7 linked regions of the Rattus norvegicus genome follow. The protein of the gene in region 1 purifies or fractionates together with the protein of each later gene. This does not show direct contact. Links are inferred from orthologs where the notes say so. Each region holds a gene or a part of one and is shown in the gene's direction. Other genes may lie near its edges. The genes, in order: Smc3, Nipbl, Pds5b, Usp13, Rec8, Pds5a and Wapl.

Region 1 (4,205 bases):
ATTTGCCAGCTGAGCCACAACCCCAGCCCTCATCCCTAGAAACTGAATGAAGGCTTAGAACGTTGGTCACAATATACCCAAAGCATCACAAATTGACAGAAAAGGAAAATTTCCTTTTTCCAAAGCATCACAAAAGGAAATTTTCAATTGAAACTTTTTCATATATATATATATATATATATATATATATATATATATATATATATATATATATATATATATAATTTTTCTCCCTCAAACTTTGGGTGGAATTTGGCCAAAGTTTCAGATAAAGGACTTCTAGGAGGGCATAAGGAAAGTTTGACCCTTCCTCCTAGACATGTTAAGTCCAGGCAGCAGGAATGGCGACCGAGACTAGTTTTTGTTTTTGTTTTTGTTTTCCCAGCAGGCAATTTTAGAGTTTCCCAGAACTCTACTTCTACACTGATAGTATACTCTTAGCTGGGTGTGGTGGTGCCGGCCTTTAATTCTAGCACTGGGGAGCCAGAGGCAGGTAGATCCCTGAGTTTGAGGCCAGCCTGGTCTACAAAGCAAATTTCAGGAAAAGCCAGGGCTAAAAGATCCTATACATTTAAGGACTGCTCGCAGTACCTACTATTTTTCAAGAAATTTCTTTGTGGCAATGGTACAGGCCTTTCTAGACTTGGAGATGGCACACAGTAAAGGCTCACAGTATATTCATGAACACTTTTAAGCCGGGTGTGGTGGGTGCGTGCACTAACAAAGGGAAACATGATGGTAAGGAGTTCTAAGTCATCCTTAGCTACAGGGTGAATTCAAGGCCGACATGGATTGAAAGCTGGCCTGGGGGGGGGGGGGAAATAAAGACAACCTCCCTAAATCAAACACAAAGCCTTCAAATGTTCTAGCATCCTCCAGTCCTCTCAGAGCTGGGGTGGGGTATCAGAACCAGCAGGAGGCGCTCTAAGCTAATAAAGAGAATAACGGAGCAGCGGAGGTTCGGAGCTGCGAACCCTAAGCAGTCACAATGAGACAGACCTACGTTCAAGTCCGACAGGCCATCCTTTTAAAGCAGACCGGCGGCCACGTGACTGCCGGCGCGCTCCGCAATTGGCTCCCCTCGTCTCACTCTAGGCTTTGGCGCCGAGCAGGCCCCGCCCCCCATGGGCGCGACCATAGTCCCGGCGTACGGAGGTGGTACAGGCCAGCCTGTCGAGCAAGGCTCCTCCGAGTCCAGCTCCCAACTGATTCTCAGTCAACAAGGCAGTATAAAATAAATTGTGAGGTTAAATCCCGCTTAGAGGGCCGCGGGAGTGTGGTCTTTTCGACGCCACAGAGCGGGGCTGGAGTGCTGACTCCCCTTGCGATCTACATCAATTCCAGAGTGGTTCCTTCGGCGCGCGGGCTCCGCCTCCGCGGCCGCCGCCATTTTATTTGACCACAGGGGGAGCGAGCGGGAGCGATCGGAACCCAGTGAGAGGGGCCGGTCTGCGTCTCTCCTGACCCTGCCGCCGCGCTGTTGCGGTTCTGAGGTGAAGCTTTCCTCCTGCGGAGGGGCGCGGAGCCATGTACATCAAGCAGGTAGGGGCTGGTGTCCTTCGCACTCACGGGCCATGAGAGGCGGGGTGGCCTGGACGGGGAGGAGCGGGGCCCGGGCCGGCCCAGCGCGGGGCTGCAGCGGGAGCTTCCCCTCGGGGCTCGGTGTGTGGAGCGGAGCCCGGGGCCCGGCGCAGGCGGGCTGCAGGCGGAGGCCGGGCCTTCTCGGGCGCCGCGGGCTGCTGCGCTCTCCTGGGGGGCTGCGGCAGGCCGCGTCGCTCTGCAGGGATGGGCGTGCACGGGCCGCTGTCCGGAACGGCGGCCTAGACGCTCGGGCCGCAGCCCAGAGAGGTGGCCTCGAGGCACGGGCTGGGCTGAAGGCTATCTCTCCCTTGCCTCAGGCTTTGCCCCAGAAGGGCGGACCCCTCGCTGCAGAACAAGTCGCGCCTGCACACTCGGTTGTTTACTTCTGTCAAAATGGTCTTCCCGCGCAAGAGGCCACCTCCGGGATGAGCCCCTGTATATACGCTTGGCGACGGTTTCTATTGGACGTGTCAGGCTCTGAGCATTCCACCCCAACCTCCTTATATTTTATCTCATTAATTTTAATTTTAGTTTATTTTTTTCAGTCGACTCATTTGACCTGGCAAGTGGTCTGACTGAAAGATGCCCTCACTGGGCTTGGAGTAAGGCAGGCTGCGACTAGCTCGCCTGCTTGCTATTATATACCTTTAGTAGTGCAGTGTTGAAGCTTATTCTGTACACTCTGAGAGCTTCTCCCAGAGCAACACTGGTTGCAGACTGTTGGAAAGGTTTTAGCAAATTTTTAACTTGCCTGCTCCCAAGCGAAATGTTCTTTGCTGCCTGGAATGTTTCTGTCTTGCATTGAACAAGACGCAAGAAATATAGAGAATGCTGCCATAGAGGTGCTTTCTGTGATCTCAAGGGTGTCTCTTCTTTATTAGGTGATTATCCAGGGCTTCCGAAGTTACCGAGATCAAACAATTGTAGATCCCTTCAGTTCAAAACATAATGTTATTGGTAAGTGTTCTTGGTTTAATACGTCGCATTTAGAGTTGATGCAGATTGATGTGATAGACCAGAGGAGACAGGAGTTGTCTTTGAATGTTAAGTAATATCCCTCTATGATATTTCCTGCTTCTCTTATCTGCACAGACAAATTGCTTATTTATAAAATGTTTAGGTAATTCAGTCGGAGGTAAATCATTTTGGGGCCTCGTGGTGTAAGTGAGGTAGTAGAAATGGCTTGTTAAGCACGTGTGTGGAGGCTGTCGATTACGTGTTTTATTTCAGAACCTTTTACGAGAGGGTATTTTTAAATGCTTTTTGCCTGTTTTCTTGTTCAAGCGCTCACTGTTACTTTCTTTGAAAGATAGCTTATTTGCCAATTGTGGTCTTTTTCCCTTGCCAGTTTGAGTTTTTATGATAGACATTAACAGACCCCTGTACCTATCTCAGAAGACCATGGAAAGGGTAAAGAGAAGGTATATGAAAATTTGAGATTAAAGAGTATATGATTGGGTGGGAGAGGGAAAAAAAAAGAGTATATGATTGTTGTCACTAACAGTACTTAGTTAAGGGTTTTGTTTAAAAATGTGTTTTTTGCTGTTACAGCTGACAAAACCATATTCTGCCGAATTTTAAAGGATGGATGAAATTAGTGCTAGACATGAGAAAACAGAGTCTGGCATTCACAGTTCTGCCATTAGTGTCCTAGCTGCAGTTTGATAGGCCAGCCAGAAGCAGGCTCTCTAGTGCGTATGCAGTTGTGGAGGATTGCGGTTTCTGGTACCAGCATGATTGACTTCTGATGAGGCCTCATTTCTGTCCAATTGACAGCTGATGTCTTTCTCAGGGCTCCCACCCTCATGACCACACCTAGCATTGTCATCTAATTCAGTTGCAGGATAGGGGAGATCTGCTTGCAGGTTCAGTTGTGGGGAAAAGGATGCCAGTGTCACAGAAGGCCGTTAGAGACCCGGGACTAAGATGAAGGAAGCCAGGAGTGCTCACTTAGCCCCTCCAGCTACGTAGAATGAGAGTTCAGAATTGAAGGTGAATCTAGTCATATGGCAGGGCCTAGACATTAAGTAAGTAAGGCTAGGCTTTTTTTGCCTTTGGTACATGGGCTACAGTCCTCTGTGGGAGCAGAGAGAACATGCATTCTCCTTGTGCTCTAGCTACAGAAGAGTGCTGATTGGTTAGCACCACAGAAGACTCCACTGTACCCCGGTTTTCTTGCATTTCATTGTAGGTGCTTCCTGATGTTTGTAGTCTGAAAATGCTATTAGTGGAGAAAAAGAAATAGTGACTAGATTATACGGCATTTCTTTTACTTCTAAGCTGAAAATACTTTAATATTTCAGGTGTCTGGTTTCCTAGTGATCTGTGCAGTGATGATTGTTATCTAGAATCATGTCAGTAAGGTCTGTTAAACACTTTTGTTTTAGCTGTGGTCAGGAAGGTTTCTGTCCCTTTGCTTGCAACATAGTTTCTTTTGAGAAGAAAGTAAGAATTCTTTAATATGTTTTAACTAAGGTAAAGTGCCTTTCTTGGTGCTAATTTTCCTGGTACTATTAAAGAGATCCTTCATTGTGAGATAAATGGAAAGTTGTTATTTGACCCGTCCAGCGGGTCTAGTTATTCAGGGTCCCGAAGAGGCCTTACCTGAGGGTCAAAGCGGGGGA
Region 2 (3,500 bases), on another chromosome or scaffold:
TAAATTTCCAGAGCCCACAAATACACTCCCTTTCTTCACCTTAATTTTTATTTCCATAGTAATTATAAAACCGCCTGAACTGTATAGTGCATGTCAGTATAGCTGTTAACATTTCTCATTTACTAGATTAAACTTTTGGTGTATATTCACAATGTATAAAATAAACAATGAGTTCAAAACAGTGCTTCATTATGTGGGTCCTGTCTCAGGAAAAAAGGTGATTTTTTTTTAAATGTAAATTCCGTACCAGGGCCAGGGTAGAACATACTTGTGATCATCTTTACATCCGCCACTTGCAGACTTTAAAGCTAGTGTAGTTCACACAGCCAGGCTCAGGCAGCAGGTTCTGTTTCTCAGAACCCAGGCTTTTTACTCCTTACAATAGCTACACTTGTGTTTTGCTCATTTCTCCCCATCGGGTATGGATTTACGTTTACATAGCCTGTTAAAGCATGCCAGCAGATCTGTGCTTATCAATCTGTAATTCCGTCTTTTGGAAGGCTAGGGCAGAGGTTCACAAATTGGAAGGCAGACATAGTGGAGCACATCTCAGAAGTGGGCGGGGCCAGTAACAAATGCGCCGCCGGTGACTTTGTGGCTGCTGCTGTTGTGCTTTAGGTGTCTGGAGGAGAAGATGAAATCCAGCAGCTGCAGAAGGCATTGCTTGATTATTTGGATGAGAACACTGAGACTGACCCTTCACTGGTGGTGAGATTCATGTTGCCTTTAACTTAAATTGTGTTCTAAAAGTGAAATGGGGAAAGAGAAAATTAAATATTTGGAAATCTTTTTATGCATTTTTTTTTGTTTGGTTGGTTGGTTTTGGTTTGCTTTTGGATTCTCAAGACAAGGTTTCTCTGTGTAGCCCTGACTGTCCAGGAACTCACTTTGTAGACCAGGCTGAACTCAGAGTTCTGCCTGTCTCCGCCTTCTAAATACTAGGATTAAAGGCATGTACCACCACCATATGGCTTATAGATTATCTCTAAATCTAAGCCAATCTTAAAAATGAGTATAGGTCACTCAGTGTTGAAGGTGATCCATGAGCACATACAAAGAAGCTGTTAAATCCATATATGTGTGTATATGCAATTCTTCGAAAATTAAGTGACATATCCAGAATACACTAGGCCATGTATACAATTTGTCCATTTTGTAGGCCTGACGTAAAGTTGATAAATACTCCACATAATCTGTAGACTTAGATACACAGAAGTGCTTCAGTGCTGACCTGTTTTAATGTGCCAATATTGTACAGATGAGAGTTGAAAACAGTTGGGGGTCTTTTACCTTCACTATTTTACTCATTTGTCCTAAGCTTTCCCACTGGCCTTCCCACCAAATCTTACTGAGTCATGTGACTGTCTACCTCAAGTAGTTGATAGTAGTACTCTATCTATATTTGATACAATCATTTTTATTGAGTTAGTTTTATAGTTAAATGTTAAAAAGGAAAAAAATTCTGTAATACAGGCTATTTCAGAATTTTATCTGGAATTATCTTTTAAATCTGCTTCTGTCTGATAGAGGTTGTTTTAAAGAAAACTACAGTACTTCTATTCCTGATTGATTAGAAATGGTATTAATTTCATCAACTCAAACTTATCTAATGTCTTTCCAGTTTTCTCGTAAATTCTATATAGCCCAGTGGTTCCGTGACACAACTCTGGAAACAGAAAAAGCAATGAAATCACAAAAAGATGAAGAATCATCTGATGGGGCGCATCATGCAAAAGAAATTGAGACAACTGGTCAGATAATGCATCGAGCCGAGAGCCGGAAAAGGTTTCTGAGAAGCATTATCAAAACCACACCTTCTCAGTTCAGCACATTAAAGTAAGATGCAGGGAAAATGGGTCAGAGATATATGAAGCATAGATGTCCATTTAAAAGAACATATCCAGTTACAGTGCTCTCTGTTGTAGGATGAACTCTGATACTGTGGACTATGATGATGCGTGCTTGATTGTTCGATATTTGGCCTCTATGAGGCCGTTTGCCCAGAGCTTTGATATTTATTTGACACAGGTAATTGATTGATCTGATTGATTTTTACTTTATTTTGGTTACTTTTGGAGATGGTGGACTAGGTGTGACCTTTTTTTGAGGGTAGTGTCAATGGGCTGTGGAAGCAGCATTTGTCTCTGTTCCTCATTCACATGGTTTTAGCTATGTCTGCCCTCTGCATACTGACTTTGTACAAACAAATGGACATGTGTTTGTATGCCACTATGAAAATCAATGTTTATCAAGTCATAGCGAATAATACTGTCTTTAATAAAAGTTACACATAAGATTTTAGTGAAGCTCATACACATAAATGTGTATGTATGTTTAGTTGAGAATACTGAAATAAAGGAAAAAACGAAAATATAGAATACCTTTCTATGTGTACTGGTCTAACTTAAGATTTTGGACCAGTAAGATGATAGTTTCTCTCTCTCTCTCTCTCTCTCTCTCTCTCTCTCTCTCTCTCTCTCTCTCTTTGTCTCTCTCTCTCACACACACACACACACACACTCACACAGAGGAGTAAGTAGTATATTTGGTTCTTTTATGTATTTTCATGCTGTATTGTGTTAAATTTTACTTATTTTAAAATTTATGAGCATGTTAATGTTTGCCTGGCAGATACTACGAGTTCTCGGTGAAAATGCAATTGCCGTTCGAACAAAAGCCATGAAGTGTTTGTCTGAGGTTGTTGCTGTAGACCCCAGTATTCTAGCAAGGGTAATAATAAAAATAGTCTATTTTACTTTTCTATTTATATTTGAAGATCATCTCCGCTGCTATAAATGTCATTTCTCTCCCTCTTCTTTAGCTTGACATGCAGCGCGGAGTTCATGGGCGATTAATGGATAACTCCACTAGTGTTCGAGAGGCAGCCGTGGAATTACTAGGTCGATTTGTCCTTTGTCGACCTCAGCTTGCTGAGCAGTATTATGATATGCTGATTGAAAGAATATTGGTATGCTTCTTCTATAGTAGTTTATGAATACGTAATTTACCTTAAATGTCACACCTTATTTATCTTAAATTTAACCTAAAATTGATAATTTAATCTAAAATGTATAAATGTGAATTATTTATATTATTTAATCTGTGAACTGTAGCACCACTCTAAAAAAGGTTATGCTTTGAAGAGGCAAACTCAGTATTATAAAGCCCAGTGTTGGTTAAAGTCAGATCCATTTTTCAATTATTCTTATACCAGTTTATAATCACTAATTAATAGTAATTTTGTATGATAACTGTTTTGATCAAGACCCTAGAGTAGTTATATTGACTTTGCAGTGTGTGTATGTATCTGTCTGTCTACAAATTGCTTCCACAGCAGGCACCCCACCCACTTTAAACATATTGATTTTTTTATAGAAGTATACAGTATGTTCTGTAGTGCTGCAGTGACAAATTTTGTCATTGCCGTTAGTGTGGTACAGGAGTAGTTTGTAAAAGGTTTACTTGACTTAGCGTAAGCACTTGTTCTCTACATCACAGAT
Region 3 (4,297 bases), on another chromosome or scaffold:
CTGCTTCTATGCAGCCAGTGATCCGTGCCAATTTGCTTTTTCACAGTCTTGCCTGCTGTAGTGTCATTTTATTCCAGGCATTTGTACAGTGTGTAATGAGACCTTGAGGTTGAGTTTGTGTTCTTACAGACAGTGCTGCTGAATCTTCTCATGCACTTACCTGTTGCTTGTGTATTCTCCAAACATCTGTTCATTTCTTTTGACACTTTATGATTGTATTTTATGTATCAGAGTTCTACAAGTCACCTATCAGATAAGTGTTTTACATGTATTTTCTAACTTGACTACTGTTTTAACGTTGTAGAGCTTTCTCTGTATGGTGTAGAATTTTTATAGAGGCGTGTACTTCCATTAACTCCAGTGCTAATCTGTGTTATTGTTTGAAGTGATTGTTGGTTGACTCCACAGTTGTATTAATATACCAGTTTACTGTGCTTGATAGACACTTGCGTTTGTTCTCAATGCTTGTGAATGTCTTACGTGAGACATGTTTGCTTGTTTCTCTTGAGCACACACAAAGAAGTGGACCCAGGAACCCTGCACGCATGCATGCACACACAGACACGCACACACACTCACGCATGCACGTATATAAATATGATGTGCTGCGTATGTTGAAGTTTTCTTGAATTATTCCTGTAATTTTGAATTTATTGTCTTTGGCTTCTTGAATCTGTGATTGCTGTCTTATGATATGTGCATTTGTGTGGCCTGCTCAGTCGTCTGTGGGTCTCAAGATAGACCCCCTCCTCACGTATTTAGTTCTGTGTTTCTCTGGTTGTGCCCTGGATGATTTCTTTTGTCCGAATTCTGATATCTTTGCTGTATGCAAATGAACTTGTCTCTCCAGCTTTTATTGGCTGCTGTTCTGCATGTCCAACCATTTGTTTTTTATAATTACTCTTTACAGATTTTCAGAGTTGTCTTTTATTTAAGTTTTTGATGGGTATAAATATTCTGTCCCTCTTGTCACACGTGAGCACTGAAACTGAATACTGTTTTTGTCCTGTTGGCAGATCACATCAGAGATAAGATGGATAGAATACTGTAGCGTTTGCTTTAATTCTGTGGAGTGTTGGGATTTTTTTTCCCCTAGATTTTTTTTCTGAATCATTTATGGCACTTTATTTTTTTTATTAAATAAGTATACTTATGTTAATTCTTTGAGAATTTCATGTAACTTGTTTTGATCAGATTTACCCTTGTTCCTGCCCCTACTTTGAACATTTGTTTGTTTATTTGTTTATTGTTGTGTGTTTTGTTGGGGAGAATTATTGCAAACTACACAGCTTGCTACTAATGAAATAAGAAGTCAGTTTGTTTGCCTCAGTAATTTTGGGAAATGTTCAGTAGAATACTTAGCAGTAGATGTCCAAATTGTTCTAAATTATGAGGCGGATACAGATCGTTCGGTAACATCTTATCTGTTACATTTATTATAGAACATGCTTGCTTTTAGTTTGTACCTAATAATTTTCTTCCTTTAGGGGTACAGACATTTCCATCATGGCTCATTCAAAGACAAGAACCAACGATGGCAAAATTACTTACCCTCCTGGTGTCAAGGAGATCTCAGATAAAATCTCTAAAGAGGAGATGGTGAGGCGGCTAAAGGTGAGTGGACATTGTGTGCTTCAGATTGCTGGGCAGTAGGTTGTAGCCCTTTCTGGTGGGGATCTTCATGGAGGGCCATGGAGCTTGCTTTGTTAGGGATTTCTTTTAAAGTAGCAAATGGCAGAGAGAGCTGTGGGAACAGGGCAGTAAGGAACAGTGGATCCTACTGCTCTTTGGAGAGTGATTAGCACATGTCCCATGATATTTTTGTTCTGTCTATTACCAAGTTATTTGTGCTTTCTTCACATTTGATGCCCACTACCCCTCCTCCATCAAATCTTCAGGTCTGGGAAAGGAAGTTTGAAGTATTTATAGGAGTCCTAGGCTATAGGTTACCTTCTGGTAGGTTATTTTTAGGGTAAGAGAGCGTGACTGTTAGTGTCTGTCTCTGCTTCTGGCACACTGTAATAAACCAAGATGGGCAGTAAAGCTTACAGGAGACATTCTCCATGACAGGGGTCTCTAGATTGTGTCTCACCTTTTTCTTCAGGGCATTAGGGGTCCCTGTGACAGCTCAAATGTTTAAGTACCAGTAACAGACAAGGTACAAAACAACAGATTTGTTACTCAGGATTATTGTTCTATTTAAGCAAAATTTTCCTTCTGTGTGGACACGTGTGTGTGTGTGTGTGTGTGTGTGTCTGTGTCTGTGTCTGTGTCTGTGTCTGGTGTGTTAACTAGACATTTGTTACAATTTTTTCATTTCTTTCAACTGATGCAAAATGTTTTACATATTAAAAATAATACTCACTAGTGGGTCACATGTACATTTTGTAATGTCTACTGATCTGCTGTTACTTATGTGATTGTCAGTGTTGGGAAAACTTGTCTTCATCACTAAAGTCTGGGAGCCTTACAGAACAGTAATATGTAAGGTTGCGGTATCATGTATGCATGTGTAAGGGACGCATACTTTTCTAAGTATGTCTACATTTTCTTGATCTGTTGAATTTTATGGAACTAATGTATTTCTTCCCTCAGGTTTACCCCAGGAGTGGTAGGCCATGCTGTCTATCATGTTTATGGGGAACGCTGTGAAGACAGAGCATGCACACACAAGCTGATTGACATTTAGTATCTTTATGCATACTGTTAGATCTCTTTAAGTTAGATGCCTCGTCTGAATTATAATCGGGGGTTCTCTGTACCCCGACTTAAGGCAGGTGTTGATGTGGAGCCTAGGCTGCTCTGGACCTCCATATGTAGCCCACACTGCCTTCGAATTTATAATCTAGCCTAAGCCTTCTGAGCACTGGGATTAGTGATAGTTTTAGTGATTTACCATACTGTTTGAATACACAATAGTGAAAAGTTCCTGTTATCTGGGTCTGGAGCAGATTTGATGGTTTCATTGTCTTCATATTCAGTGTTGTGTACCCTCTATTACTGTCCGATCGTGTGTCCAGCAGCAAGCTGGCCAGTGCAGTCTTAGCTTCAGAAGAAGAGAAAGTAGAGTGAGTCGGGGATGATGATGCTTTTTGCTATTTACTCATGTAAGTTTTATGAATTATGACAATTTGTTAACATACAGGTTATCCTATAATTTCTGGGTTTTCCTATAACATTTTATTCAAAATAGACTTCATTTCCCACTCTTGCATAAAGAGATTATAAGGAAAATAACTAGTTCTGTGGACCTTTCTCTCTATTTGCCCTTGTGACTTTCATGGCGCAGAGGTGCTGAGAGCTAATGTCTTGAGAGTGTTGCAGTGGAAGTGTCAGGACAGCAGGCCTAGATCTGGGTCCTCTCACTTTGTGTTGGCTCTGTTGGATTTGGTATCAGGCATGGCAGAGCAGAGGGTTGTTCTCTGAACAGCATTGTCTCCCATGGCTGCTCCGGGAGATCCTAGGGAATACAGCATTTCTCACTTAGAGCTACAGGCCTCTGGTAAGTCAGAAGCCACAGGCCATGATGCTCAGTAGCCCTGTTGAGAGGTTAGCATGTGCAGCGCCACCTAGTGGATACTGTATGGTTACCTTTCGTCAGAGTGAGGTCGAAACTCGTGTTCTCTCAGGTTTGACAGTTTTCTTGATTCTCACTTAAATAAAGAATAGAGATCATTTTGTTGAATTTTATTTGAAGTAAGGATAGTTGGAGAAAACCATTTCTACTGATATTAACCTTAGAGAAAACTTCATAGAATTTAAACTATATAATTTTTTTTTGCATCCCCCTTTTATAAAAATAATTGTGAAGACAGATCTGTTTCGTGCAACCTGTGTCTGCTTAACACATACCTGGATTATCTCGCTGAACCAATGAAATACCCATATCTTATTTCCTTTTACTGTGGCCTATAACATGCTTAGTGTGTGACTGTGACACTTAACTTATGTCATGGTAACTGAAGGTTGCATTTTTCTTTAAGAACACATCTTTGACATCCTTTAAAAAATAGGTTTATTTTTATTTTTCAATTATGTCTTTTTGCTTGGTATGAGCATGCAAATTCAGTGTCCCCAGAGGACAAAGGAGTCACAAGTGATTGTGAGCTACCTGATCTGGGTGCTGGCAGCTGAACTTGGGACGTCTGGAAGAGAAGCGCATGCTCTGAATGCTGACCCATCTCTCGGTCCCAGCAGTTTTTCTTGAATCTGTTTATATGGTCTTTTAGGGAGGCTGAAATAGAAAAATCACATCTGGAGCGGTTTAATGGCTAAAAGATATATTGTTGCTATGGCA
Region 4 (3,500 bases), on another chromosome or scaffold:
TGTTTCCTCTCATTTGTGGACTTAGAGTTAAATTTATGTGTGTGCACACAAACACATGCACATGTCTATTTGTGTATGTATAGGGCATGATGCTTGAAAGGCGATTGTGACTGCAGGGAGAGATCTGTAGTGACAGTGAAACAGAGGCGATGGAGCACACATGATATGAAAACAGAAGGAAAGGAAGGGGCATGAGGAAGGGCTGTGGGGGGAGACTTTCTAGAACAAACTGAGCTAATTCATGTGTGTGGAATGTCACAATGAGACCCACTATCTTATATGCTAACTTTAAGAATTATTTTACAAAAGAAAGAAAGTGAAGAAACAAATAAAAGTCAGAGATGAAACCTTCTCTCTGAACATTTCTGGCCTTTGCAGCAGGTGCTGAGTGCTCTCAGTCCTCAGCCTAAGCCCAGGTGCTGTCCTGCAGCAAACCAGGTGTTTGCACACAGGTGCAGCTCAGGGACGTTCTACCTGTAACACCTGCTGGGCAGTGCAGGGGATGGGCAGACATGGCAGCTGAAGCCATTGTCCTTCTGGAACCTCACACGGGCAGCAGAGCCAGTGCATCAAACCCTTGGGGGACACTTCTCCCCTGGAGTTCCTCATCAGGCCTGAGTGCCAGGTGTCCATGGTGGTTGCTTGTTGACATATCCTATGCTGGCTTTTCCATTTCTTATTTGTCTTTCCCATTCTGCTGGGCTCAACTCCCACACATCTAGGTCTGACTTCAGTCTAGGGGGTCAGACTTGACACAATGTTGGGCAGTCTCCAAGGGACCAGAATGCTCTCGGGGACTCAGAAGCTAGGTCTCAGAGGAAGAGCAAGGGGCGCTTAGAGATATGTCCAGTTTCGTTGACGTGGGCCCACTCTACTTTCTGTCCTAAGACAGTAGCTTGGGGTAAGCAGACCACTGCTGGCCTCATTTTCTACCTCCACAGAAGAAGGATGTTTACACTGACACTGAGCAGAATTTGCTAGAATCACACGATGGGGCTTTCCGATAGTCATTTGACACATAACTGGCATTTAGTGTGCAGTTTGGTCCACTTATTTTCTGAATTTAGAACTGTAGTGTGGTAGGGTATGTCAGTCATTTTATAACAAACCCCTGAGATGGGTCAAAATCATAAACGGGAGTTAGCCTTGGCTCATGGTTTTAGAGGCACCAGTCCCGGTTAGTTGGCCCCGTTGTTTTTAGGTGGTGGTGATACAGCATATCAGGCGGGAGACCTACAGTGCTACAGGCTGTTTAGCTCATGGTGGGTGGAAAGAGAGACAAGGCCGGTCCTGAGTTCTAATGTTCCCTTTTAAAATATTTCCCAGTGGGGGCTGCAAGGGTGGCTCAGTGGGTAAGAGCACTTGCTGCTCTTGCAGAGAACCTGGGTTTGGTTCCCAGCATCCACATGGCAGCTTAAAATTGCCTCTCACTCCAGTTCTGGGCAGGGGGTCTCCCAATGGCACCAGATACACACATAGTGCACTTTCATACATGCAGGCAAAACAGTGTACACATAAAAGTAAATAAATCTTAAAAATAAAAAGTACACTCAGTGAACATAATAATAGGTCTCATGTTTGATTGTTGTATTACTTAGTTTCTATTTCTGTGATAAGGAACCATGACCAAAGGCGACTTACGGAGGAAAGGGGTTATTTCATCTTATATTTCCAGGTAACCAATCTATCCCTCAGGGAAATCAGTGTAGGAATTCAAGCAGGGCAGAGACCTGGCGGCAGGAAGTGAAGCAGAGACCGTGGAGGAATGCTGCTCACTGGCTCGCTCCTCATGTCTTGCTCAGCCTGGTTTCTTATACACCCAGGACTACTTGCCACAAGGGTTGAACCATCCACAGTGAGTTAGGCCCTCCCACATCAACTGTCAATCAAGAAAACTGATTGCCCACAGGCCAATCTTATGGAGGCATTTTCTCAATTGTAGTTCCCTCTTCTAGAACAACACTTACTTGTGTCAGTTGACATAAGAAGTAGCCAGCACCATTATAATGTTTTCATACATGTATGTAATCGTTTGCTCACGTTCACTCCTGTTACCCCCTCGCATCCCCTGTCACTCTTGCAGATCACCTTCCTCTTTCAAACCAGTCCCTTCTACATTAATGCTTTTCTTTTTGGGGATTCCATGAGTTGAGTTAGGGCTGCTTAGAGGAGCACAGGTTATTTATAGGAGCAATGGCATCTTACCAATGACTATGCCATTGAAGAAGGTGTTTCCCTCCCCAAGCTTATTAATTGCCTATAAGTTTTCAGGGAGGGGCAGGCCTCATGAGTGCCTCTCTACTCCATGATAGAATGGGCCCAATCCTGTAGTCACAGGCACCGTGAATTCAGGAGTGCAGCAGTGGCTGTGACACACCCAGAAGACAGTTTTCCACAACACTCCACATCTCATGTTCTTCTTGCAGTCTCATGAGCCTTAGAGGAGTCTTGTAGAAGCGCAGGGATAGCTGAGCGTTCTACGGTCTCTTGTTCTCAGTGTGATGTTGACCAGATGTTCTCCGTGGTCCCTGCCGCTCACTGCAGAGACAAACATCATTGGCCAAAGCTGATTGTACCAATAATCTACAACCCCAAACACAAATATCTAGACAACTGTTGAACAGGCGCGTTGTGTCCATGTAAGAGCTTTCCAGACATGCTGGGTTCACAATGCCATGCAGAAGACCATGGCGTTAACATGCAGTTCTTCCTGGGATGTGCCCAAGTTGGACTATAGCATAGTTGTTATCTCCATCAGTTTTATCGTGTATGTGTGATGTTTTGGAATGTCTTCCACATAGGATCCTCCATTTTTGTACCTTATTCAGGAACCACTGTCCTGCAAGCGGGAGTTTGGAGGACACGGCCTCTTTCTCGCGCTTCATGTCATACATCAATTTTCATTTTAAAAGAGCCACACTGGAGATCTATGGCTCAGTCTCGGAAGCAGGAAGGGTACCGGGTGGTCCTGGGCTCTGGACGGGAACAGTAATATCCCTGGGTAAGAACACTGGGGAAGTGCAGCAGTAGGATACACTGTTCAGTTTTCACATATCAATGTTTCCCTTTGTACTGGCTGTCCTGATTGTTCTCTGGTGACTTTCTAGTGGCTGGAAGTGTGCCCGATGTGACCTGCGGGAGAACCTCTGGTTGAATCTGACTGACGGCTCTGTTCTGTGTGGGAAGTGGTTTTTTGACAGCTCGGGGGGCAATGGCCATGCGCTGGAGCATTACAGAGACATGGGCTATCCTCTGGCCGTGAAGCTGGGCACCATCACGCCTGATGGAGCAGGTGAGTGTACCATTGCATGACTGGCATCTCACAGCTGTCTCAGCTCAGATCTGAGAAATGGGCTTTGCTTCTTCTTATTTGTAGTGTGAGTACTCGAGATTCCTTGTCTTGGGGACATTGATGGTGCTACTCTTGTGGTTATTCATGGGTCTAAAGCATTTAGCCCGGTGGCTTTCAGTAAAGCGTGAGTAAAATAACTGTTCTCCTA
Region 5 (4,014 bases), on another chromosome or scaffold:
TATTATATATAAGTACACTGTAGCTGTCTTCAGACACACCAGAAGAGGGCATCGGATCTCTTTACAGACGGTTGTGAGCCACCATGTGGTTGCTGGGAATTGAACTCAGGACCTCTGGAAAAGCAGTCAGTGCTCTTAACCACTGAGCCATCTCTCCAGCCCTTTACTTCTGTTTTGTTCTTGGTTTTGTTTGCTTGGTTTTGAAACAGGGTCTCACTGTACTGTTCTGGTTAGCCCGAAGCTCACTGTGTACACCATCATGGCCTCAGACTCACAGGATCTGTGGGACTCTGCCTTCCAAGTTCTTGGATCAAAGGCTGGTTTGTTATTGTTTTTCCCTTTCTTGCAATACTGAGCTGAGCCCAGGGCCTTGCATATACATGCCAGTCAGGCTCTCTACTACTGAGCTACATTTCCACATTTTCAGCCTGGTTTTTACTTTTTATTTATTTATTTTATATAGGATTTCACTAACTCTCCCTAACTGGGCTGTAGACCAGGCTAATCTCAAACTCCAAGAGATCCTCCTGTTGTTGAGATTAAAGGTGTGCATACCACTCCTAGCCTCTGTTTTTGCTTTTTGTTTAGAGCTAGTGTCTAAGTTGCTTAGGCTGGCTTTGAACTTGTCTCCCTTGCAAGTTCCTTGGTTGTTTTCTTTCTTGTTGAATAAAAGGCCACCTCACACTGTTTCTTGCACTTAGCACAGCATAGACCCTTCCTGGGCACAGAATCTGGTTGGTGAAATTTAGGAGTAAGGTCAGGTCCTATGTTCAGGCAAGGTACCTTCCCTTGAATCTCTGTATCTAAGCAGCACCAAGGCATCTGCCCTTTACGTGACCCTGGCTCCTAAAAGATACTATTTTTAGCTGTCACCAGGGTGAGACTGGGTTTCCTCCCCGTTTATTGGTCATCTTACACGTTGGAGAAGTCCTGTTACTACCTGAGAGAATGAGACCCCATTGGCCAGGACAGCTCACAATGCCATGGTAGCGTTCAGAGTTCTTGTGATTGGCTCGCGACTATTCTCCAAGAGCCTATAGCCTGGAACTGAGTTTTGCTGCCTAGCACCAAGAGTCAAAGCTCCCTCCAATGCGGCTTCCCATTGGCTGTGGTGGCGCAAAGCCTTGGAGAGTGTGCACCTAGTCCCGCTGGAGGGCGACCCGACCTAAAGCAAGTTCCAGAAGCTCGACGACGACGACGACGACGACGACGACGTCGACAGCGACAACGGTGGTGGCGGCGGGCGACCTCGAGCTTGAGGAACAAAGGTTTTTTGACAAAGTAAGAACTCAGTCTTGCCTGAAGATCTGTTCTGTGTCTCTGCCTGGGTTTCTCTTGGAGCTTCGCATTTCTACTTGGACGCAATCCTGAAGGTAGGTCCCACTTGCGCGATGTGCAGACCTCAGGGATGGCAGAATGAGGGATCGTCCCTCGCTTCTGCGTCTCTGGTTGTCTCCTAATTCAACTACAATAGTCAGTCGGTCATCTTACTAATTGGGCTTTTTGCATCCACGTCCACCACACCCCCTGTCCAAATTCCTACTCTTCAATGGTGCTGGAAATCCCATGTTCTCAATGAAGAATTTGGATTGAGATCCAAACGGGATTGGTGCCGAGCGAGAACCCCAGAGCGAAGATGTTCTACTATCCCAACGTGCTTCAGCGCCACACAGGCTGCTTCGCCACTATCTGGTGAGCACAGGGCTGATGGCTATACCAGGAGCCCAGTAGTGGGATCCCACCTTGACAAGCCGTTCCCCACCCCTCCAGGCTGGCCGCTACCCGGGGCAGCCGTTTGGTGAAGCGGGAATACCTGAAAGTGAACGTGGTAAAGACCTGGTAAGATCCAGAAAAGAGGGCGGAATGGGGTTTGGGGTTACTTTGAGTGTTGCACTGACCAAGGGCTTCTTGTTCTCCCAGCGAGGAAATCCTCAATTATGTGCTCGTACGAGTGCAACCTCCGATGCCTGGGCTGCCCCGCCCCCGCTTCTCCCTCTATCTCTCCGCCCAGCTTCAGATTGGTGTGATAAGGGTCTACTTTCAACAGTGCCAGTACCTTGTGGGTAAGGCTAGAGACTCTAGAGGCGGGCTAGAGCCGAAGGGCCCGTGGCTGGGTTGTTTATTTTACTGTTCTCACCCACAGAAGACATCCAGCATATCCTAGAGCACCTACACCGGGCCCAGCTGCGGATTCGCATTGATATGGAGGAGGCTGACTTGTGAGGCCCTGGAACTGAGGCCATCCATACTAAGCTGCCTGGCCTCAGCCTTGTTTTGTTTTAAACATTTGCCTGGACATGCATGCAGTGTGTGTGTGTGTGTGTGTGTGTGTGTGTGTGTGTGTGTGTGTGTGTGTAGGGGGGGGTTAGGTAGAAGAGGGGGAGAGGGGGAAGGGGGGGGACGGAGAGCTCAAACAGCATTGTATAGCATTGTATGCATGTGGAGGTCAGAGGACAACAGATAAAGTGGGTTCTCTTCCTTATGTTAGTTCAAACTCGGGGATGAAATTCAGGACTTTGGGTTTAGTGGCAGCACCTTTACCAGCTGAGCCACCCCACCCACCCTCAGCCTAGGTCTTTTCCATCCCTTGTTCTCTCCCAGACCTAGCTTGCTTCTTCCCAATTGCCTGGCCATGATGGAGACGCTGGAGGACGCCCCAGAACCCTTTTTTGGGACGATGTCTGTGGACCCTACACTTCCCAGTCCTTTTGATATTCCTCAGGTAAGGTTCACTCCCCTAGAACCCCTCAGAAATCACTAGACAACAGCAGAGGAGTTAGTTGGTGTCCCTGTCCATCTGGAGCTGAGACTGAGGGTTGGGACACTGCCTCGGGTTTCCATTAACAGGCTATGGAGCCCCAGCTCTTGCTTACTTAGGGCCAACCTGATAGGCTGGTTTCCCACATGAGGCGTTCTTCCCCCTCTACTGTTTGCACCGAGACCTGGCTCTCAGGCTTCAGCTGGGCATGTTGGGTTTTCTTCCCTGTCTTTTGGCATCTCCCACAGCTTAGATGTTACTCCTGCCCCCGTTTCCCAGCTAAGCAGCTGGTTCTGAATGCAGAGAGGATCAGCATCCAAGGACCCTCGGTACTTAGATTTAGGGGTGCTCATCCCCATTCTGGTCTCTTCTCTAGGCACCTTCCCTCTCAAACACCAGCCCATTGCACATGTCCCAACGGTGCCACCTTTATTCTTTTGCTTGTGAAAATGAGCATCCTAACCCTTTAAGAGTGGCCACTCATTCTCTGCTAGTCAGGTCCTACCAAGTCCTTCCAGACTTTGCTCAAGTGCCACCCTTTTCCAGGAAATCATTATCCCACTTAAAGCCAAAAGCAAATGACGCTTGGAATCTCAACACTCTACTAAGTCTGCTTCATCCTTTTCTTTTTTTGTCTTTTTTTTTTTTTTTTCCTGGAGCTGAGGACCAAACCCAGGGCCTTATGCTTGCTAGGCAAGCATTCTACTACTGAGCTAAATCCCCAACCCCTGCTTCATCCTTTTCATTGATCTATTGGAACTGTACACAAATTTGTCCCCACCACCAGCTACCCAACAATCTTTTCTCTTTGTCGCTGTCCACGACAACACAAATTGACGAGGCTAATTTGGGGATGAGCTTAAGGCTGGGACAGGAGGGACACTAGGTGGTGGTGGCCTCTGACATACTGTTGTCAAATGGCACAGACATCTGATTTAGGTCTGGAGGTATAGTCCGCTGGTAGAGAATTTGCTTAACATGCACGAGGCCTTAGGTTTGATTCCCAGTTCTGAAGGAGAACACACACACGCACACACAATCACACACACAGATACACCACACACATACACACTCATACCGAATATGGTAATGTAAGCTAAAATAAGAATTCAAGAATTGGGCTGGAGAGATGGCTCAGTGGTTAAGAGCACTGACTGCTCTTCCAGGGGTCCTGAGTTCAATTCCCAGCAACCACATGGTGGCTCATAGCCATCTGTAATGGGATCCGATGCCCTCTTCTGGTGTGTCTGAAGACA
Region 6 (3,500 bases), on another chromosome or scaffold:
ATTATGGAGGTGTTTAATGAATATAAGTGCCTAGGATTAGCCTGGCAGAAGGATAAGCCTGGCAGAAGTTTCTGAAACCCTACAGTTGGTCTATAGGAGACTGCCTCAAAACTACAAATTTAAGGCGTCAACGAATAAATACTGTCTATTTTATCAGCTGTAAAGTAGATTTTATAATATTAGAGGTGGTAATCATACTTTGAACAATATCAAAAACTAGGAATGAAGTTTATTTAAAACGCTACAAGTGATTTTCACAGGCACAGTAAACACATGGTGCATTCAACGCAGATGCAGGCAAAATGCTCATAAACATAAAAATAAAATATGTGTTGCTGGTTGTGGAACCCCATTCCTTTATTCCCAGCACGTTAAAGGCACCACATTAAATCTTAGGACTGCCATGTCTCAAGACCAGCAAACTAAAGAATTAAAATGTTGAAAGGTGGAGGATATTATGTCACTGGGTCACAGCAAATTTCTTGCCAAGTGTGTGCAGTTCTCTGGTGCAGTAGTGCTCACTATGGACTTGAAAATACACCTCCTGCCTTTGTCCAGGTCGTCGTACCATGTGTGAGCAGAGTGCGTTGCTGTTGCAAGGCAGGGCCTGACAACGCTGAGGTGATGACAGTGCTCAGTTTGCTTGGTTTTGTTCTTTCTTTCTTCTTTTTAATAGGACTTCTCTAATGACAAAAGCTATATTTCGGAAGAGACAAGAGTTCTTCTGTTGACAGGAAAGGTACTGTATGTTTTCTGCTTGGGGTTTTGTTTCGTGGGCTGTATTTCTTTTCTCTGCCCCCAGGCTTGTGGGCACGCAGTGTGCATTGCTACAGTCTGAATATTCTCAGACCTGTTTTGCAATTAACCACTGTTCAGAGCCATTGCATTGCCACTTACTCTTAAAAGTGGTGAAAAGCTCAAATTTACTTAAAATTCGTAGGACAGATTTCTATAAATAATAGAACAATAAGAAGATAAGAAAGGCGTTGTTGGCTCATGAGTTTACTCCCGGTACTCAGGATGTAGATTTGTCTGTCATTTCAACGCCAACAGATTTAGTTCTGGAACAGCCAGGGCTGCATGAAGAAACCCTGTCTTTAAAAAAATAAATAAGGGGTTGGGGATTTATTTAGCTCAGTGGTAGAGCGCTTGCCTAGGAAGCGCAAGGCCCTGGGTTCGGTCCCCAGCTCCGAAAAAAAGAACCAAAAAAAAATAAGTAAATAAGAAAAAGAAAATAAAGAGAGACTGATATGAAAGGCTAAGATGATAGGAAGATTGTATTTCATAAAAGTCAGGTGATGTAAAAGTGTATATTCACAAGTCTAAGTCTGCGTGCATCCGTACACAAGTTTTGGAGGCATGTGCGTTGTTTCAATTAAGAAATAAGAGATAAAAAGGAAAGATATCAAATATTGCCTCATACTAAGTGAAGGTAGTGGATTTGCTTTTGCTTATATTAAAAGAGCCAAACTTTTTTTTTTTTCCAGAATTCTGATAACACTCCCAACAGAATTACTACTCTTACCTTAACACTAAAGCACATGTCTTAGGCGCTCTAAATTTTTACATATTCCTTTCCCTCGGGTGTGAAATGACATAGGTATGATTTTTCTTTCTTCTTTCTTTTTTTTCCAGCCAAAGCCTACTGGAGTACTAGGTACAGTAAACAAGCCCTTATCAGCAACGGGAAGGAAGCCTTATGTTAGGAGTGCCGGCACAGAGACTGGAAGCAATATTAACGCCAGTTCAGAGCTGAGTCCTTCGGCCGGAAATCGTTCAAGGCAATTTATTTTTCTCTGAATACATTTTCTTTTCTTGCTCCTGCTTGGCTTAACGTTTACGTTCAAGGCATTGGATCATATAATGGATTTATGTAAAATTATAATATTCATGTGTTTAGGGTTTTTTAATGAGACTCAAAAGTGTACTGTGTGTTTTCTGAGACAGGGTCTCATCATGTAACTCTGCTTAGCCTGAAACTCGATAATGTAAGCTGGGTTTTCCTCAGACTCAGCTGCCGCTGCATCTGCTTCCCAGGTGCTGGCGTTAAAGGTGCGTTTCCTCACACCTTGTTTAAAGAGCGCTTTCTGAGCCAGCGCCTTTTTACATGGTCAGGCTGTGTGCTGCAAACTTGTTGCAGACCTCTTGCTTCAGCCCCTGGAATACTGGAATTATAAACCTGAATACCACATTATATAGCACACCCCGAAAAATAAATTCTAGAACACCAATGAGGTCTCCCAGGCAAGTGGGTATAGTTAATATGACCAATCAATGAATAAAATTGATTATTTCATTTCTGAATTGAAAAGACTTTGGTTTTTTGTTTGTTTGTTTATTTGTCTGTTTTTCTAGTAGGGAACAGAGTTCAGAGGCATCAGAAACTGGAGTTAGTGAAAATGAGGAGAATCCTGTGAGAATAATTTCTGTCACACCTGTAAAGAGTATTGATACGGTAAAGAATAAGGTAAATGTTATTCCTTTGTTTATAGTGCTGAGGTTTCCACAAGGCAGGGCTGGAGAAATGGCTCGGCAACTGCGTACTGACTGGTATTTCAGAGAATCCACGTTCCTTTCCTCCATGGCAGCGGATAATGTTCAGGAGTCCTTGCTTGTGCTGCTCAGCTGGCCCTGCGCCTACTCACCTGTCTCCACTTCCCCACTCAGGGCTACAGATGTTTGCCATTAGATGAGGTCTTTCCTGCTTATCATCTGATTCATCTTATTCCTTAGGCTTCCTGTGGGGAGAGGGAGCTTTGAACTTGTGGTCCTCCTGCCACACCTCCCAAATAACTGGGGTAACCATGACATGTTCTACCATGATATTCAAACTGGAGCACCCAGTTCACTCACTCACTCTACATCCATCCAGCTATTGTGTGCTACTTAGTATGTATGTACGAATGACTTGCAGTTTTTGTGGAAGCCAGGAGAACAATTTGGATCCCCGAGGGCTTGAATTTACAGTCGTGAGCTGCCATGTGGGTGCTAGGAATGAACTTGAGTCCTCTGCAAAAGCGTTAATCCTCACCTCCCTGTTCTACTTCTTCCTTTTTTAAAAGATTTGATCTTATTTTATGTGTATGATTGTTTTACTGCATATGTCACTGTAGCACGTGTGACAAGTGCCCACAGTGTTCAGGAAAGGGTATCAGATCCTCTGGAACTGGATTCTCACTCACATGGTTTGCAAGAGTAACAAATACTCGTAAACCCTAAGCTATCTCTTCGAGCCCCTCCCCCATTTCCTTAGCAGTGTTTGAAGAGGAGAGAAGTGAATCGGAACAGTAGCCAGGCAGTCAGACTTGTTTCGGGATGTGCTCTGCCACTGGAGGACTCGAGGCTGATTTAGATGGTCTGGCTTCACTAACTCCACAGTCACTTGTTTAATGAGAAGCAGCTCTTCTTCCACTCCCACTGCAAGCAGGAATGGCTCGAGACAACAGATCACTGGACAAAAGTCAGGGCTATCTCACTCCCATAATTCCCGCAGTACAGAG
Region 7 (3,500 bases), on another chromosome or scaffold:
TGTTCTTATTGTAAAAGCAAGCCAAAACACTACCAAACCTGATGTATGGAAGTAAAGAATGGAAAATTAACCTCTTCAGCTCATTTATTTAAACTAGTTTAAAAAGTTTGCGTGCTGAATGTTGAAAACTATATAAGGAAGTCCTAGGATCTTATTTTTTATAGAATGCTTAAAACTTGTTAAAAATTTGCTAATTATATTTTCTCAAAATTCTTTCTACAGGGAATATGAAACAGGTGTCAAAATGACATCCAGATTTGGGAAAACTTACAGTAGGAAAGGAGGAAATGGCAGTTCAAAATTTGATGAAGTTTTTTCCAACAAACGGACTACTCTTAGTACAAAATGGGGAGAGACCACATTTATGGCTAAATTAGGGCAGAAGAGGCCCAATTTCAAACCAGATATTCAAGAAATTCCGAAGAAACCTAAAGTAGAAGAAGAAGATACTGGAGATCCTTTTGGTTTTGATAGTGATGATGAGTCTCTACCTGTTTCTTCAAAAAGTTTAGCCCAGGGTAAGGGTTCCTCTTACTCAGAATCCAGTGAAGCTGTTCAGCTGGAAGAAGTCACTTCAGTACTTGAAGCTAATAGCAAATGTAGTCATGCGGTGGGTGAAGACAGTTTTGCTTCTGATAGATGCTTACTTGTGGAGGATTCTTTAATTGGGAAAGAAAAGAACACAAATAGAATTCCAGAAGACAATGCAAACAAAAGTAGTTGTACTAAGTTGATAACTTCAGGTAAGTTTTGATGTATTTAAAGCCATTTATGTGATACTGAAATTCTAATTTATTACTTGTGTGCATGCATGTGTTTGGAAAGAAAAGGACAACTTTGTATAGTTTTTTTCCATGTCTACATGGATTCTAGAGATAAATAAATGGAGGTTGTCCGGTTTGCATTTCTAGCACCCCTACTGAGCTGTTTCATTAGCACCTTAAAAGGCCCAAGTGGTTGCTGAGTTGCGGTGGTGCGCTCTTCTAATTCCAGCTCTTGGGAGGCAGAGGCAGGCTTATTTTGGAGTTCAGACCCCTGGACTGCTAGGACTGTTATGTAGAGAAGCTCTGTCTTGGACCCCACCCCCCCACAAAGGATGTGCGTGGTTGCCATTTGTTTTTTTTTTTTTTTCCTCCCTGCATTTATGATTAGTAGGAGATATTGATAAGTTTGTTTAATGTGTGTGTATGTCTCCTGCATAAATGTGCACTGTGCATGCCTGCTTCCTTTAGAAGCTAGGAGCTACTGAAGTTAGACACCATGTGGGAGCTGGGAACTGAACCTGGGTCCTTTGGAAGAGAAGTCAGTGCTCTTAAATGCTAAACTATTTCTCCGGTCCCCTTATAAAGCACTTAAAACTTTTCAGAGCTCAATCAGATTTAAATTTTAATTCAAACATCTTAGAGACTTGTTACTTGGTATTATTTTGGGAACAGTCTTTATACATTGATTTGTTGGATAGTGTTTTTTATAATACTGTGAGTTTATTGACTGTCTACAAGGAATTTGTTGTAGTCTTAATGTAAATAACACATCAAGTAGGATAGGGAGTGTGACTTGCATTGCTTTGCTAAAAGTGCTGAGCTTTTTTTCTAATTTTCTCAACCTTTGGGTGAGTGAGCTAGCTTTTGTTGTCGTCCTCTTGATCCTCTGGGCTAATAATCATTTTGGTTGTTGCTTTGTTCATATTTCTCCTAAAGCATTGTTCTTACCTTAAGCTAGATTTTCATAAGAAAACAAATCAAAAGAAGCCTAACATTGTTTCCAGATCAGCTTCTAAAATTTATCATAAAGATACAATTTCTGAGTGCAAATGAATTTTTTACTCAACTCTGCTCACTTTGTAAAGTTTGGAGAGATTAGGTAACTTTCTAAGATCAGCTAGTGGCAAAATTAGAATGAGGTTTTTTTTCAATTACTTTTAGATTTATTTTTTTTATAAGTCTGCATGCATATATATATATATATATATATATATATATATATATATATATATATATATATATATATACACACACCATATGTATGCTTGCTGGCCACCAAGGTTGGAAGAGGGCATCTGATTCCCCTGGGACTGGAGTTACAAACAGTTAGGAACTACGATGTAGGGTCTAGGAATTGAGCTAGGTCCTCTGCAAGAGCAGCCAGTGCACTTAGCCACTGAATGAGGTTTCTTGGTTGTTCAGATGTTGTTGAGCCTACTATCTGATTGTAGTGTTTAATTGTCGTTTCTTGCTGATTCCAGATAGTTGTCCTACACAGGAGGTAGGTAGCCTGTAGAAGACTAAAGGTGCAAGTTTGTTAACGTCCTTGTGGAGGATCAAGGGAGAATGGGGCCTGGTGGCAGAGGGTCGAGGGAAAAAATGTTTTATAAGAGGAATAGGAGTATTTGTAGGAGGTATCTAATTATGTTTCTATGGTGGTAGTGTGTTTTTTTTTGCTTTTGTTTTGTTTTGTTTTGTTTTTTTTGGAGCTGGGGACTGAACCCAGGGCCTTGCTTGGTAGGCAAGCGCTCTACCACTGAGCTAAATCCCCAACCCCGGTAGTGTGTTTTTACATTTGTTCAAATTGCTGTTGGAAGTTGCTAGAAATGCAGTAATCTGTGGAATAAAATAGCTTCACATTCCAGTGTAGCTGGATTGTAGTTCTGATGATGCCTGTAGTTGGGTTGACCCTGATTCCAGACTCCATTATAATAAAGTTTGAGGAGAAAATACATACAAAAATAAAGATAAACAGGTATTCTAGAAAAAAAATCTAGTTTTGCTTCCCTTGTTATAAATGCACACTTAGTGGTAAGGGACTTATGCCACAGAATGAGTTTGTGTATTTTCCCTTGACTTTCTGAAGCTTGCAAACTCTGGCAACTCTTATAGGGTAGGAAGCAAACTTGAAGTGTCTTTAATTTTTGTAATAGTGTTAACTTAAAAGTGTGTATAAGTCAGTTATTTTTATAAACCATGTATAAGTTCATGTATTTAGAAGTTGGCTCTGTAACAGAATGCTTTTGAGCTTTATAGATTTTCTTTTGCCATTTCACCTAAACTTTTGGGATTTCCTGATTTTGCATTTTTGTCATATTGTCAGTTCTTTAATTTTACTCAGAAAACTTAATTTGTTTTTATCAACAACTTGTTCAAAGTATGTAGATGTACTTGTTCAAAGTGTGCAGGTTTAAATTAAGTTCCATAGTATCTTTTCAGTGAGATATTTGTTCACTCTTTTCTGTAGTTGAATTATTTCACACCAATAAGAAAAGCTTATCCAAACTTAAAAGAGTTTTATCAGTTTTTTTCTAATAATTCACATTAAGTTCATCTTTTCATCAGTAGAGAATTGTGATTTCTTTTTCGAAATTACACTTTTTTGTTTTAAATACTTCTTAATGGGTAGTACTTTTAAAGATTATGGTTAACTTGAAGAGGAAATTCGAAGTGAAGTCATAATAAACCAGAATGGTTTAACTAGTCAGCTAGTCTAGGGGTAAAGCCTGAACACCT

Evidence for each region.
Region 2: the proteins of Smc3 (region 1) and Nipbl purify together in Homo sapiens (affinity purification with western blotting; 4 studies listed by BioGRID, with this or other methods). This does not show direct contact. The link is inferred for Rattus norvegicus from reciprocal best matches to the Homo sapiens genes SMC3 and NIPBL.
Region 3: the proteins of Smc3 (region 1) and Pds5b purify together in Homo sapiens (co-immunoprecipitation; 7 studies listed by BioGRID and IntAct, with this or other methods). This does not show direct contact. The link is inferred for Rattus norvegicus from reciprocal best matches to the Homo sapiens genes SMC3 and PDS5B.
Region 4: the proteins of Smc3 (region 1) and Usp13 purify together in Homo sapiens (affinity purification with mass spectrometry; 4 studies listed by BioGRID and IntAct, with this or other methods). This does not show direct contact. The link is inferred for Rattus norvegicus from reciprocal best matches to the Homo sapiens genes SMC3 and USP13.
Region 5: the proteins of Smc3 (region 1) and Rec8 purify together in Homo sapiens (affinity purification with mass spectrometry; 3 studies listed by BioGRID and IntAct, with this or other methods). This does not show direct contact. The link is inferred for Rattus norvegicus from reciprocal best matches to the Homo sapiens genes SMC3 and REC8.
Region 6: the proteins of Smc3 (region 1) and Pds5a purify together in Homo sapiens (affinity purification with western blotting; 8 studies listed by BioGRID and IntAct, with this or other methods). This does not show direct contact. The link is inferred for Rattus norvegicus from reciprocal best matches to the Homo sapiens genes SMC3 and PDS5A.
Region 7: the proteins of Smc3 (region 1) and Wapl purify together in Homo sapiens (affinity purification with mass spectrometry; 7 studies listed by BioGRID and IntAct, with this or other methods). This does not show direct contact. The link is inferred for Rattus norvegicus from reciprocal best matches to the Homo sapiens genes SMC3 and WAPL.

What each region holds. Positions count from the first base shown.
Region 1 is NC_086019.1:262,605,686-262,609,890, forward strand, and holds the start of Smc3 (structural maintenance of chromosomes protein 3), read left to right. Parts: upstream 1-1,405; 5' UTR 1,406-1,527; coding exon 1,528-1,542; intron 1,543-2,462; coding exon 2,463-2,538; intron 2,539-4,205. UniProt on the Homo sapiens protein: Central component of cohesin, a complex required for chromosome cohesion during the cell cycle. The cohesin complex may form a large proteinaceous ring within which sister chromatids can be trapped.
Region 2 is NC_086020.1:59,160,778-59,164,277, reverse strand, and holds part of Nipbl (nipped-B-like protein), read left to right. Parts: intron 1-618; coding exon 619-708; intron 709-1,621; coding exon 1,622-1,836; intron 1,837-1,925; coding exon 1,926-2,028; intron 2,029-2,631; coding exon 2,632-2,730; intron 2,731-2,821; coding exon 2,822-2,968; intron 2,969-3,500. UniProt on the Homo sapiens protein: Plays an important role in the loading of the cohesin complex on to DNA. Forms a heterodimeric complex (also known as cohesin loading complex) with MAU2/SCC4 which mediates the loading of the cohesin complex onto chromatin.
Region 3 is NC_086030.1:5,089,445-5,093,741, forward strand, and holds the start of Pds5b (sister chromatid cohesion protein PDS5 homolog B), read left to right. Parts: upstream 1-1,497; 5' UTR 1,498-1,506; coding exon 1,507-1,614; intron 1,615-4,297. UniProt on the Homo sapiens protein: Regulator of sister chromatid cohesion in mitosis which may stabilize cohesin complex association with chromatin. May couple sister chromatid cohesion during mitosis to DNA replication.
Region 4 is NC_086020.1:117,546,943-117,550,442, forward strand, and holds part of Usp13 (ubiquitin carboxyl-terminal hydrolase 13), read left to right. Parts: intron 1-3,107; coding exon 3,108-3,292; intron 3,293-3,500. UniProt on the Homo sapiens protein: Deubiquitinase that mediates deubiquitination of target proteins such as BECN1, MITF, SKP2 and USP10 and is involved in various processes such as autophagy, endoplasmic reticulum-associated degradation (ERAD), cell cycle progression or DNA damage response.
Region 5 is NC_086033.1:33,078,604-33,082,617, forward strand, and holds the start of Rec8 (meiotic recombination protein REC8 homolog), read left to right. Parts: upstream 1-1,214; 5' UTR 1,215-1,373; intron 1,374-1,581; 5' UTR 1,582-1,636; coding exon 1,637-1,692; intron 1,693-1,770; coding exon 1,771-1,839; intron 1,840-1,920; coding exon 1,921-2,063; intron 2,064-2,143; coding exon 2,144-2,219; intron 2,220-2,601; coding exon 2,602-2,722; intron 2,723-4,014. UniProt on the Homo sapiens protein: Required during meiosis for separation of sister chromatids and homologous chromosomes.
Region 6 is NC_086032.1:42,989,833-42,993,332, forward strand, and holds part of Pds5a (sister chromatid cohesion protein PDS5 homolog A), read left to right. Parts: intron 1-676; coding exon 677-739; intron 740-1,635; coding exon 1,636-1,781; intron 1,782-2,355; coding exon of another isoform or gene 2,356-2,358; coding exon 2,359-2,467; intron 2,468-3,500. UniProt on the Homo sapiens protein: Probable regulator of sister chromatid cohesion in mitosis which may stabilize cohesin complex association with chromatin. May couple sister chromatid cohesion during mitosis to DNA replication.
Region 7 is NC_086034.1:10,015,110-10,018,609, forward strand, and holds part of Wapl (wings apart-like protein homolog), read left to right. Parts: intron 1-222; 5' UTR 223-244; coding exon 245-743; intron 744-3,500. UniProt on the Homo sapiens protein: Regulator of sister chromatid cohesion in mitosis which negatively regulates cohesin association with chromatin. Involved in both sister chromatid cohesion during interphase and sister-chromatid resolution during early stages of mitosis.